3 linked regions of the Saccharomyces cerevisiae S288C genome follow. The protein of the gene in region 3 interacts with the protein of the main gene of each other region in a pairwise test. Each region holds a gene or a part of one and is shown on either strand. Other genes may lie near its edges.

Evidence for each region. The genes of interacting proteins can lie anywhere in the genome.
Region 1: the proteins of CNM67 (region 3) and NUD1 interact in a two-hybrid assay, tested with the Saccharomyces cerevisiae proteins (2 studies listed by BioGRID).
Region 2: the proteins of CNM67 (region 3) and ADY3 interact in a two-hybrid assay, tested with the Saccharomyces cerevisiae proteins (2 studies listed by BioGRID).

What each region holds. Positions count from the first base shown.
Region 1 is NC_001147.6:1,035,186-1,039,953, reverse strand, and holds NUD1 (Nud1p), read right to left. Parts: upstream 3,121-4,768; coding exon 565-3,120; downstream 1-564. Other genes in the region: aldehyde dehydrogenase (NADP(+)) ALD4, read right to left, coding at 1-114; NDD1 (Ndd1p), read left to right, coding at 3,483-4,768. UniProt on the Saccharomyces cerevisiae protein: Involved in astral microtubule organization by binding SCP72 to the outer plaque in a cell-cycle dependent manner. Required for the mitotic exit by facilitating the binding of TEMP1 to CDC15.
Region 2 is NC_001136.10:25,839-30,287, forward strand, and holds ADY3 (Ady3p), read right to left. Parts: upstream 2,938-4,449; coding exon 565-2,937; downstream 1-564. Other genes in the region: GTPase-activating protein LRG1, read left to right, coding at 1-38; GUD1 (guanine deaminase), read right to left, coding at 3,147-4,449. UniProt on the Saccharomyces cerevisiae protein: Involved in the pathway that organizes the prospore membrane (PSM) during sporulation. Mediates the assembly of the DON1 ring structure at the leading edge of PSM during meiosis II.
Region 3 is NC_001146.8:222,160-226,449, forward strand, and holds CNM67 (Cnm67p), read right to left. Parts: upstream 2,311-4,290; coding exon 565-2,310; downstream 1-564. Other genes in the region: JJJ1 (Jjj1p), read right to left, coding at 1-272; SQS1 (Sqs1p), read right to left, coding at 2,637-4,290. UniProt on the Saccharomyces cerevisiae protein: Involved in the pathway that organizes the shaping and sizing of the prospore membrane (PSM) during sporulation. Required for the proper formation of the spindle pole body (SPB) outer plaque.

The DNA of each region.
Region 1 (4,768 bases), on a different chromosome or scaffold from region 3:
CCCATTGGGCAGCTTGATAGGCACTGTCATAGGAAGGTGTGAGAAATATCTCAATTGAAGTCTCCCAATGGAGGATGCAGACGTCTTTAAGCAGAGCGTAGATCTACTGAACATGCTTTATTTATTTTTGTTATTGTAGTTTTCTTGGTTGGTTTTCCAGATACTTCTAATCCTAACACCCAAGAATTTTTGAGGAAAGGAGAGTGAAGTCAATTGTCACCGACAAACCCCCCCCATTTATATAACCGCCGAACTTCCATTTTCATTACAAATTTCTCCTCATTCTGCTTACCTACACCCGCCCCTCATTTTCCATCTCTGTTGGAGTTGGAGAAAAAGATACCTGTGGACGGAAGTCCCGCATCGCTGGATAACAGCCGTACCGTCGCCCGGGCGGGGAATCATACCAGCAAACAAAAATGAGGGGGAAATGACATCATGTGCGGACGGTACTAAAGGATCAAAAGAATGAATGAATGAATTGTTACACAAAACGGTGAAATTGTTACATACATTTACTAATTACATACATTTTTAGTACTGCGTACGGGTATAGTTATGGGGTTACAGATTCGTGGCAGTTGGGGCAGGAGTGTCATCTAACCAGAGGGTCGCCAGGGCGGGACATTGCTGCTGGCAGAGGCCAGCAAGCTGGAGCAACTGCCGGTAATGCAAGCTCGTGCTGGCGCGATCGTGGCGTGGTGTCGTGATTGGGTTATTTCGTAGATCAAGAAATTTTACTGATTGGCGTGGGAGAGTTTTTGTTAACTTGTGTGCGTTTTGTAGGTTGTTGCCTGGCAGATGTAGCTCTTGCAAGAACGGTAGTTCCTTGGAGAGGTCCACTGGTAAGTGTGTGAAGTCTCTAACATTAGCTATAGTTAGAGAATATAAGTTGGTGGATTTTAGAGAAGAGAATCGCGGCAAAGAGGAGGCCAGGCCGCCGTTGATCTCCAGAATTTGCAAAGTGGCAGGCCATTTTTGCCATTTGCTAAGTTGAGCGAAGCCGTCCAGTTTTAGAATCTTTAGATTTTGGTAGGGGAACGTGAATTGATCATCCAACTTGTAATTTTGTAATTTGGATAGCGCGCCTCCTGTATTTTTGATGGAAAGCGCTCTCAACGTTCCGTTCTCCATCTTAGAAGATTCCACGATGGAAACTAGCGGGTTACCATTGAGGTTTAAAACCTTCAGGCGGGGCAAGCAATTGATGTTTCTTACGCCAATTATGTTATTGTTGCTTAGATCTAAGACTTCCACGGTCAACCAGCCGCCCACGACAGAGTTGTTTGTTAGTATCAATTGTTCGAAATCGATGATACCATTAATCTCGTTGTTAGAAAGGTTCAGTTTTTTCATCCTGGAGGATCCTATCCCTTCTAAGGATTGGATGGAGTTGTAAGAAAGGTTCACCTCTTGCAGGTGATGACAAAGTGACAAAAATTTTAAACTTGTATTCAAGAGGTTGTACGATAAGTCGAGGCATTCCAGATCGTGGAATCCGGCTAATGAACAATGTGCGCTCGTTATTTTGTTGTTTGAACAAAATAGCTGTACAACGTTCGAGGGTATACCTTCTAGAGTGTTCATTTCATTGTCACTAAGGTTTAGCACTAATACATTCGGTAGTAGTCTTTGCATGCCAAACATATTCTTCAGTTTGCCCCTTGATAGGTCAACTTTCAGGATTTTTTCCCAATCGGAATCATAGCTTGGAGAACCAGATAGTTTACTAGTCAAGATTGATATTAGCTGCTTTTCAGTTTCGTTGAACGAGGTGTTTACTTCGGAAATGGACGTAATATCTTCAACCCGTTCAGCGGGGAAGGTCTTTAGTTTCTTGTGAGCTTCTAGTAGATTGGAATTAGAGATTGAACGAGAGGTACGCATTTGTCCTTTAACCTTCGCTCTAGTGCCATTTTTCGTAAAAAGGTCATTAAATTTTGGTGTGTCTAGGGGCGTGTCATCGCTATTTGCTAGATTTTCTTCTTCTTGTATTTTCTTTTGGCGGTAGCCAACATCACCTGGTTTGGTACTGGTTAATTCATACGCCTTCTTATCTAGAATTGAAGGTGCCTTACCGTTAGTGTGATTATCTCCAGTTGGTACCATTGTGGCGAACTGGGACTGGTTGGAAGATGTATTGTCCAGAGAATGTGAACTCGACACATCTAAGCCCTGGTTCAGCGGCGGATCCCATGCGCCGTGTGTATGGTTAAACTGATATCCCAATTGACCGGGTGAAATAGTGTTCAATGGAGGTTTCTTGAGAACTTTTGATTTTCTGCCTGATTGAGTTTGAGAGGACGACATGGATGACGATGATGAAAATTCAAAAGAATTGGAAGTGTCCTCTTCGTCCTCCTCCTTCGTTCTAGCGTTATCCTTATTATTAATATTAATACTATTATTATTATTATTATTATTATTATTATTATTGTTTTTGTTGTTGCTATTACTTGGATAAGAACCCACCAAATAATTCGATTTTTGCTTTTGTAATATGCCATCAAATACATCATGTGCCTCAGCTGCTGGGCCAGAATCGCTGTCATCAGAAAACGACGATGAGACCTTCTCAGCGTTAAAGAAATCTTTAGAATGTGAAATACTAATCGTATCATGGTTTTCATGGGTCTGCATAGTAGTAGTTTTATTCTTCATATCTAAATGTCTTTTAAATGTATTTGTTTCAAGAACTCCAGATAAATCCTTAACCAAGTCGCTCACAATGAGATCCGATTCAGGAACTTTGTTTGCAGTACCAACAGCGCCACCAAAGTTGGTACCACCGCCGCTACCAATACCAGGGAAATACTGCTTCCATTGAGCTTCTTGATGAGATGTAGCAGTCGTGCCTGAAAAACCTGACGGCACTTTCTGATGCACCGTGCTATAGTTGTTCAAAACTGTCATTGTAGGAGGTTTTTTGACAGAATCGGATATTGCAGGTTCCACAACTTGGGAAGTAAAATTTGAATCTTGAAAATCGTGGTTACTTTCATATTCCTTAAACACTTTACCACTGTTACTGTGCGCGTTCGAGCGTAGCTTTCGTGGTGAATTTATTGTAAGATTCTCCAGCTGGCTCGATAGTTCTGCCTCCTGCGTATCCATATCCATTTCGGTATGCTTTTACTATTCAACCTAGTCGGCAATTTTTTCACCTGAATATTGTTGAACACTTCTGGCATCCTAGATACTCATCTGTATTTATTCATTATCTGTTGTGCATCGTTAATAGCATTCCAGTAAACAAGTTTAGGTCACTACCCGCATAAGCCTTTTGGCGTTTGGCGTAACCCTCCTCGCGAAAAGAAACGGGACGCAAAAAAAAAAAACAACAAAACAAGAACAAAACAAAACAAATAGGACAGAGCCTTAAGGAGCTGCAAGGATCTTCTGAATATTTGGCATCGGCATTGTGGGTGGAAAAAGTGTCCAAATTGGAATAAATTGGTCAGAATAGAGCATTGATTCCAACTATGGACAGAGATATAAGCTACCAGCAAAATTATACCTCAACTGGGGCAACTGCAACTTCCTCAAGACAGCCCTCTACGGACAATAATGCAGATACAAATTTTTTGAAGGTAATGTCAGAATTCAAATATAATTTTAACAGTCCGTTACCTACAACGACTCAATTCCCCACGCCCTATTCTTCTAATCAGTATCAACAGACTCAAGATCATTTTGCCAATACAGACGCTCACAACAGTTCGAGCAACGAATCGTCGTTGGTAGAGAACAGTATATTACCGCATCATCAGCAGATACAACAGCAACAACAACAACAACAACAACAACAACAACAACAGCAAGCTCTAGGTTCACTTGTACCTCCTGCTGTCACAAGGACAGATACAAGTGAGACTTTGGACGATATCAACGTTCAACCTTCTTCTGTTTTGCAGTTCGGCAACTCTTTACCCAGCGAATTTTTGGTTGCATCCCCAGAGCAATTCAAAGAATTTTTGTTGGACTCTCCGTCCACCAATTTCAATTTCTTTCACAAAACTCCGGCAAAGACACCACTTCGATTTGTAACAGATTCTAACGGTGCTCAGCAAAGCACCACAGAGAACCCAGGTCAACAACAGAATGTTTTTAGCAATGTCGATTTGAACAATCTTTTGAAGAGTAATGGAAAAACACCCTCATCTTCATGCACCGGCGCATTTTCACGCACTCCTCTGAGTAAGATTGACATGAATCTCATGTTCAATCAACCGCTGCCGACATCTCCATCAAAAAGGTTCTCCTCCCTGTCGTTGACACCATATGGAAGAAAAATTCTGAATGACGTCGGTACACCTTATGCAAAAGCATTGATATCGTCTAACAGCGCGTTAGTGGATTTTCAGAAGGCAAGAAAGGATATTACCACTAATGCAACATCCATAGGGCTGGAAAATGCCAACAACATCTTACAGAGAACGCCGCTAAGATCTAACAATAAAAAATTATTTATTAAAACCCCCCAGGATACCATCAATAGCACTAGCACACTAACTAAGGACAACGAAAATAAACAGGACATATACGGCTCTTCACCGACTACCATCCAATTAAATTCATCAATAACTAAATCTATCTCCAAATTGGATAACTCTAGAATTCCCTTGTTAGCTTCGAGATCAGATAACATTCTGGATTCCAATGTGGATGACCAATTGTTTGATTTGGGGTTGACAAGATTACCTTTATCACCAACACCAAATTGTAATTCTTTGCATAGTACAACCACAGGTACATCTGCCTTACAAAT
Region 2 (4,449 bases), on a different chromosome or scaffold from region 3:
CGACCACAACGGTCATACAAGGTGAAATAAACAAATAATAGGCAGAAACTGTAAGTTTCCCCTCATTTTCCTTTTTTTCTTCTCCTTCCCCTCAGATTTCGAGGTTTGTCGTTCTTATTAGAGTTCTTTGCTTTTTTCTTTGCCTATTTCAATAAAATCTTACCAGTATGCTATGGAAATGGACATTATTTTATTATTATACAACATAGTATATTCTGACTAAAATGGAATTAGAAATTGTAACATTAGTATGTACTTATAATCATTTGTATCATTGTATTACTCGCCTTTTGATGTAAATTTTGTTTATATCTCAGAACATCTCCAACAGCAGATCAGAAGTTACATTGTTCTTGTAAGTGCTTAAGAAGTCTGTTAGCAAATTGAAATCTTTCAGAAGAATATTCCACCAAAATTTCGGAAAAGCAATACCAGCGGTAAAATATCTGCCATGCTCTATATTATGTGACTTTATTTTAGGTGCACCCCCCACCAGTAACTTATTCTCTAAATAATAATTAATGACACCATTGAATATATTAGTTCTAAATAAAAAAAAAAAAGCTAAGAAAAGAAATATTTAAACAACGCTTGCAAATCATACTCAAGAGGATGCTTTACTTCAGCAATATCATGATTGTTCAAAAACTCATTCATTGCGACCTTTCTTCTACTTTTGAAATCTAACTGTTTACCAAAAACCTTAAGGTTCAAATCATTAGCAAATTTTGTGAGAAGTGTAAGCTCACATCTAAGTTGAATGACAATTGTTGGTACAATTTTTAAGAAGGTTTTTAATGGGATATCCAACACAATTAATAAATTTTTGATTAGATTTTGCGATTGCACATAGGTAAGGTCTGTCAGAATATCAAGACCCAAGGAGTCGTACTTTTCCTTCGTTATATGTGGAAAAGATTTTCCAACAGTTTCAAAATTAAGTTCGGTAGAAGGATCACCATATAGTTTTTTTAAATTCAGCTTCTCTTGGAATACATCTTCTTTTAGTGATAGAATTGTTTCTTCGAGTTTTAATATTTCACTTTGTTTTCCAGCTAACTCGTCAGTAATTTTCTTATGTGTGTTTTCTGACTCTTGAATTTGAGTGCTCCATCTTGAAGCAATCAAAGCCTGATTCTGAAGTTTCTCAACAATTTCCTGGTGTTCATTCATGTAATCGTTCAATTTATCTTCGGCATTTTTCTGAATTTTTTCACTTAGTATTAATTTTTCTTTTAACTCGCTCTTCAGTTTTTGAAAGTTTTCTTCCTTGAGGTTCAGGATATCATGCCATCTCCTTTTTTCCAAACGAAATTGTTGTTCTTTTGTTAACGCCTCTTTTTGAAGATATTTTATTTTGTGACTGTGCTGCTGTTGCATAAAATGTAATCTTTCATTAATCAATTTAAAGACAGAAATGATTTTTTCAAGACGTATACGGTCATTCTTTTCCAAAAGTTCTATCTTTCCTTTTAATTGTTTGTATTGCTCCATATTTTCAAGATTTTTGATATCTTGAAAATCCGGATAAAGCTTGGCAAAACCGTTTTGAAACATCGAAGGGGAATGGCCACATTTCATTTCTTCTAGTATGAATTTACCAAGGTCTTTCTCAAAAAGAGAAAGATTTTGCATATAGCTGTAAACATCATTTAACCTTTTCTCGTAAAACGAACCATTATCATGTAATTTTTTATTTTCATCTTGAGAAAGTTGCAAATTGCTTTTCAGTATTTCAACTTCAGATCTTAATTTTACTATAGAGTTATTCGATTCGTTAATATCTTTTAGAAATTTATCATTTTCTTGCTGCAAGTTTAGGATTTGTTTTTGCTTCCTGTATAGTTCCGAAACTAAAATATTTCTTTGAGAAAAAGCTTTACATTTAGTTTTGGCACTAGTCACTTCATTCTTCTCCTTCTTGCTAGCGTTTTTGTTTTGAAAGTCTGTAATTTTTTCTTCTCTAATTTTTTTAATTTCTTTGCGAAACCGGTCCTGAACAATGTTGAGCCTTTTTGATGCAGCTTTTCTTTCGTTGTGGAATTCCTTCTGCAAGTCTTCTATTCTTTGAAGTTTAGCATCATTCATGCTATTAAGTTCTTCTAGTTCTTGAATCCTGTCATCCTTCTCTTCTAGTTTTTGTCTTAGTGCTTTGATCTCTTCATTTTGGGACTGGAGCTCATCTAATACCTTGGGTAAACTATTTTCTTTAGAAATACTTCCTCCATATGATGAAGAAGATAGCCTAATTTCTCCTAATTTCATATATTCGGACTGTTCTTCATCTGGAGTTTTAGATGAGCGAAATACGTTCTCTAGATGCGCAACCTCTATATTCTCCTCCAGACTCTCATTGCTTACAACATAATGCTCATCATTTGAGATTGCTGCGACTTTGTGGGGATTCGTGAGGAGCTTTGTAGGTGTAGAAGAAAATCTATTCACTTCAATACTATTGTGTACTTTGTATGTGGTAAATTTACCAGGGCTTACATTTCCTAATGTACTGGGCTTTCCTGCAGGTGACAGAGCCTGCGAGCCTATTCCTACAGTTGGTAAACCACCCCTTTGTAGAAATTTATTAGGCGATTTTAAAGTATTTTTTTCCGTAGCATTTTCCAATGTACTAATGTTACCAGAAGGTGAAGAGGCTTCTGAACCTGCCCAACTCTCTGAGCGGTTTCTTCGGGAACGCCTATTCGACAGTTTTGATATAATATCAGAAGAAATACTTTCCTGCACATTAGATTTTTCAGTGGACGTAGGTACTTCAGAGTCTATCCAAGTTTGTGAACGCCGCTCTCGAAAAGGTTTACTTTCTGGAGACTTAGTTAAAGTGCCATCAGTAACATGTCTCATCTCCCCCTGCTGGTCGCAATCCGAGTTTTGTTCCTTTAGGGATTCAGGCTTATTCAAAAATGCTAACCAATGATTCATATTCGGAGAAGTTTGTTGTATTCAACTATCCCATTCAAAATCCCAAACCGAGTTTTGCAATTCTTTCACTGGCAAATCTCTTTGTGTTCCTAATCTTAATATTGTACAATGGGCGGCTAAAGCGCGATACGCAAAAGAAATTTGTACATATACTCAAATTACTCATTAATACTTGGAACAAGATATAGTAGCCCTCTAAACATATACAACTAAATCTGGTAGACTTGCTGGCCGGCTACCCAAACTTTAGTGGTGTTGCGATCATCACCGTTAAAGAACCATTTTGCGATTATGTCTTCATTAGTAAGCAGCGGTGGGTTCTTATAAGGGTCTTGCCCTTGCTCTTGCTCTTGCTCTTGCATTTGATCCTTCTCCTTTAGCTGCCAATGAAACATATCCACGTTTGAGCCGGGAGCATTGGTATCGATCATTTGAGCGTCAAACTGCTTACCGACGTCAAAAGTCCCCAAGGTCTCATCCATACGCAAGACTTGTGCTCCGCCCATTGTAGCAAGAAATAGGCACTCGGAGACTGAAAGTTTTGCATGATCAGTTTCTCTCATTGCCAAATGCCTTGAAACTGCAAAGGCCTGCCTTCCGGTGGTGAGTATGCTACAAGAATGACCGGCTGAAACGTCGGTGCCTAGACCAACCTTTATGCCCTGGTCCAGCAACCATCGAACCCTACACTCTCCAGAAGTCAGAGAGGAGTTGGAAATGGGACAATGAGATATACCACAGCGACGCTGTTTAATCACACGCGCTTCGGCATCTGTTAGATGAATACAATGTGCCAATACTGTTTTTTCTGTGAGCAGCCCATATTTGTCGTATACATCAGTATAGCTCTCACATTCGGGAAATAAATCTTGAACCCACTGTATCTCCTCCTTATTTTCCGACAAGTGGGTTTGAACGTGTATGTTTTCATCCTTGACTAGCTTGGACAACTGTTGCATTAGTTCTCTAGAACAAGAGGGCGCGAACCTTGGTGTCACTATAGGATTTACGAGGGGATCACAAATGGTTTCCCGTATGTACTTAACAACTTTCACAGTGCTTTCAAAGGAAGTTTTAGTATCTTCAATATAATACTCGGGACCATTGGTATCCATGCACACTTTTCCAACAAGAACACGCTGCCCCAATAAGGAGCTTAGTTGAGCCAAGAGCTTAGTGGACTTGAGATCAATGGTATTATAGTAAGCCACAGTCGTTGTACCGTGAGAAAGCGTCTTACTTATTACCTTATTGTAAACTTCTCTCGCAATATTTTCGTTTGCTAGTGCGGCTTCTATGGGGAAGGTATACTTCTCTAGCCAATCCAGCAGGGTAGAATTCCCAAATACGCCGACATTTGGATATTGCGAGACATGGTTATGCGTGTCAACAAAACCTGGAAAATAAAAGCTGTTATTTCGAGTCTTGTCTTTTCCAATTATGTCAACCACCGTGACATCCTCTGGTGATAAGCTACTATCGTGATCTAAACAATCTTTGACAGGATCGAGT
Region 3 (4,290 bases):
GCGTCTACCTCATAATCATAGTAATCATCAGTGCTTGGTGGAGTATCATTTAAAATTTGTTCCTTATGTGAGTCATACCATGCTCTTTCCTGGGGGTCAGACAGTACTTCATAAGCGGCTCGAATCACAGCAAATTTTTGTGTGGCTTCTTCAACATTATCTGGGTTTTTATCTGGGTGATATTGTAGGGCCTTTTTACGGTAAGCTTTTTTTAACTCAAGATCAGAAGCATGCGTTTCGACCCCTAAAAGCTCATAGTAGCAGGTCTTCATCCGTTATTTTTGAAGTAGTAGGATATCACTATACTGATATTAACTCTTGGCTGGTCAGACTTTTACTATGTAAAAAGAGCTACTTTGCGATGACTTCAAATTTTTTTCACGTATATTTTTTTTCTATTCTTAAAACAAGAAAAAGTGTAAACATAAAATGTTGGCCGCTTAAGCCCTCCAATTTTACAACAAATGAATATTTTATACATACTTCCTAGAATATAATTTAATCTTATACCTTAATTTTTAGTTACAATTACAACAATTTATCTATTGACTCCGTTAATAAAAATTACTTCACCATCTTCTCCAGGATATGATCATACAGATGGTCCAGACACCTCTCCAAATGGTGATCTATGGAATCCATCCTGCGCGTTGACATAAAATCATAGTATGCTTGATCCGTAAATTTCTTTAGATTCATTTCTTGACTATATACTTGTCTATGCAGACGTTGAGCAAAATTGGACAGCATGATGTTTTCATATTTCAATTTGATAGCCAGCAACGGAATCTTTCGCCTTAACTTTGGATAAGGAATACCAACAGCCAAAACAATTTCTTTGACAGTATTTTGTAAAGTCGTCAAATTTGCTGAATCAATTTGTTCAACCATAAGGAAATTACATTCTTCTGCCGAAATATCGGGCCTTGACTGTAAGATATTTTTTATTGTAATCCTTTCAGAAGTATTTCCCTCTAAGTTTCCAAATCGCGACCTCAAATTATCCAGTTCCTTTGATAGAGTGTTTGTTTTCTTTTCAGCATCTGCTAGCATTTTTTCTTTATCCTTCAATGATGTTTCGTATTTTTCTTTGCTTTTTTCCCATGATCCTAGTCTTTCATTCAACCTTTCCAGCTTAATTTTTATTTCCTCATTACATCCTTTCAAAATTTCCTTCTCATCGATTGTCAACTTGTCAAATTTATCACATAGTATTTTGTTCTGTTTGGAAAGGGTTTTATTTGTACCAATTAAAGTATTATTTTTTTCTCTCATGGTCTGGATTTCAATTTTTTTATTCTCTAACTCATTTCGGAGATCCTCAGCTTCTGCTTTTGCATTTTTAAATCGCTGAGAAATGCGGCTCAGCTCTTCTTGCTGTGATGCACATAAAAACCCTTTAATATTAGGATATTTTTCTTGTAATATGTGATCTAATTTTGAAGAATTTTCCTCCGAGTCATACAAATCGAAAAACAATATACCAATCGGTATTTCAAACAGCTCGGCCTTTCTTAAGGAGTCAGTGAGACTTAGTAATGCAGTGTGTTTTGTCTGAATAGTATCATTGGCTTTTTCCAACATTTCTTTATTCAGCGAAAGGTCCTTTGTTAGGTTTTCAATCAATACTGTCTGTTCTTCAATTTTTTTTTTGTTATCTAAGGTTTTGTCGTTTGACTTCGTAGCTGCTTCGAGCTCCTTTTGTAAAGAGTTTGCTCTTTCCTCTTGTCTTAGATTATCTCTACCCAATTCAATAACTTTTTTTTGATACCCCAGTATCACATTTTCTAACATTCGAAAATCCTCTTTCGATAAGGAGTTTTGTAGAAAAATTTTGGCACCGTTACAGTCTTCTATCGAGATATCTGGCGATGTATGTTCATCAGTTGGTTGAGCAGAAGCCTGTTCATTTGCCCTCGTAAAATGCTTCGAAGAGTTTTCTCTAGGAGTAGAGTGTATGAAATTGGGTACATCCTTTTTATGAACATCAGTACCTATGGGAGACTTATCTTTTTCGTTTTTTGGTCGTTCTTGTAATCCTGGAGATTCCTGATAACTAGTATTTCTAGCATAATTCATTTGATCCATAGATGGTGATTTGTTCTCTTCATATGAGTCTCTAGCATTGGAAAAGTTGCAATTGATGACATCTTCAGGGTTAACGAATAAAGGTAAGATGGATTTTCCGACATGATTTTCATTTAGCCAGTTTTGTGGGATTGGCTCTCCGTCTTTAATTTCCCCATTCTCTGATACAGGAGAATCCAAACGCTCATGAAATGGAAAATTCATTAAATCGAAATCAGTCATGATGTACAAAAGACCTGTCACTATTTACTAGTGATTATTTTTTGTATGTGTAGATTTCTTCCCGAGGAACGTTAACGTTATTAGTTGTTTTATTACTATAAACGTTCCACAAAAAATTGCCTAACGCCTCACGTCGCGCAACGCGAATTTTCACAAGAAGATGTTATTTACAGTTACGATAATTGAATTGGATATGTAACGAGAAGTTGTACCTAAAACTCCGTATGTGTATATTACCATAGATTTTTCATGGTCTAGTCTAGAAAATAAAAAAATATGTATATACGCAATTGTTAAGAAAATGAGGATTAAAAGCTTGGAAAATATTAACTTTCACTGTGTCTTAAACCCGATCTATTCTTTTTAATTTTGGCAAAAATTGGTTCACTTATACCTTTATTGCCTTGAATACCAAGGCCCTCTCCACTTTTCCACCCAAGCTTTTCCAACATTCTTCTACCGATATTTTCGTTTCCAATCTCTGGAGCGTTTTGACCAACAATCTCACCTTCTTTAACATGAAATTTCCCTCTGATTGTTTTAGTTCTTTCGAAAGCAGCTTGTTCCTCCCTCGGTCTTCTTATATCTATTCTCATGAATACTGGCCTCTGCCTCATCAATTGGTCAATGAGACTATAATTCGGAGAAGACCATTTCGTTTTCTTTATTTTTTCTACAACAACCGACGTATGATTTGCTTTCCCAATTTTTGAACTCTTCATATTATAATGCTTCGCAATTTTCATTACGGTCTTGTTTCCATGAGGATCTAATGGAGGGAAAGTCAGTCTATCATTGTTCCTAGACAAAAAGGACTCAAATTCATCTTTAATATTTTGAATATGGAGTCCATATGGGTATTTCTTGAGCATATCGTTCGAATTTCTATTCTCCTGATCAATGAAATCTTCTTTGGCTTTTCTTTTCTTTGCTTTGGTTTCTATGCGTTTACTAAACTTACTTTGTAACGTCTCCAACGTTTCTGTATCCAGCGCTAAGGCGTCATCGATGAGTAGCTTCTTCTTCTTACCTTTACCCTTAGTTTCCAAGGACTTGGTTTCAAATGTTTTGAATCTTTCTGTATCATGTTTCAATGTGTATGCAATTAGGTCGTCCAGACCCTCTTCAATGTCGCTATGCACAACCGAGGAGGCCATATCTTCATCATCTTCATAGCTGTCGCCTTCATAGCTGTCACCTTCATCACTCGAATCAGAAATCGGAATATCTGAGTAGGTTGGCTCAGCTGGTTCAATTTTTGGTATAAGAGAATTTTTAATAAAATTCAAATATGCAGGTAATCTATCTTCAGGAAGACCTAACTCGTCTACAACGAAGTCTGTGAGTAAGTCCTGGTCAATCCAATGAAAGTCGTAATCTCCCAGTAATCTGTAACACCGTAGATAATATGAATTGTCTACTCCGCCCATTCTTATATTGGAGACCACTATGTCATTAGTATTTATGACAAAATCTTCTTCTTTGAATCCAAATTCTAACTCTTCGCTAGCAGGAGATGGCAGATTATCATTATTGCCTTCGAATGTTTTGGTACCATTTATTGAAAGACATTTTATATCTTCTGTCAACTGCGGACTAGGGCTTGGTAAAAGATTGTTGTCAGCTCGGGAATTGTGACGTTGGCCAACATAATTAAACCCTTGATCAACCTCAGAACTTGCTGAGGATTCGTATAAAGGTTCACTATTATTCTCTGTTTCTATTTCGTAGTCTAGTTCATCATTGTCCGAGTCGCTAGTATGCATACCATGTAATACGTTGGAAATGTAACCAGCAAATGGATGATATGTCTTATTACCCTTATTTGGAACGTCAACACTAATTTCCTTGCTTTCGTTACCTTCGGAAACGCTAAGTTCAACCTTTCCAATTGTTAAGATAGGATCGAACTCTATCGCAACTTCTCTTGGCCTTGCGATTTCCTCGATACATACTCTTTTTATTTTGGTTAGATCCGGC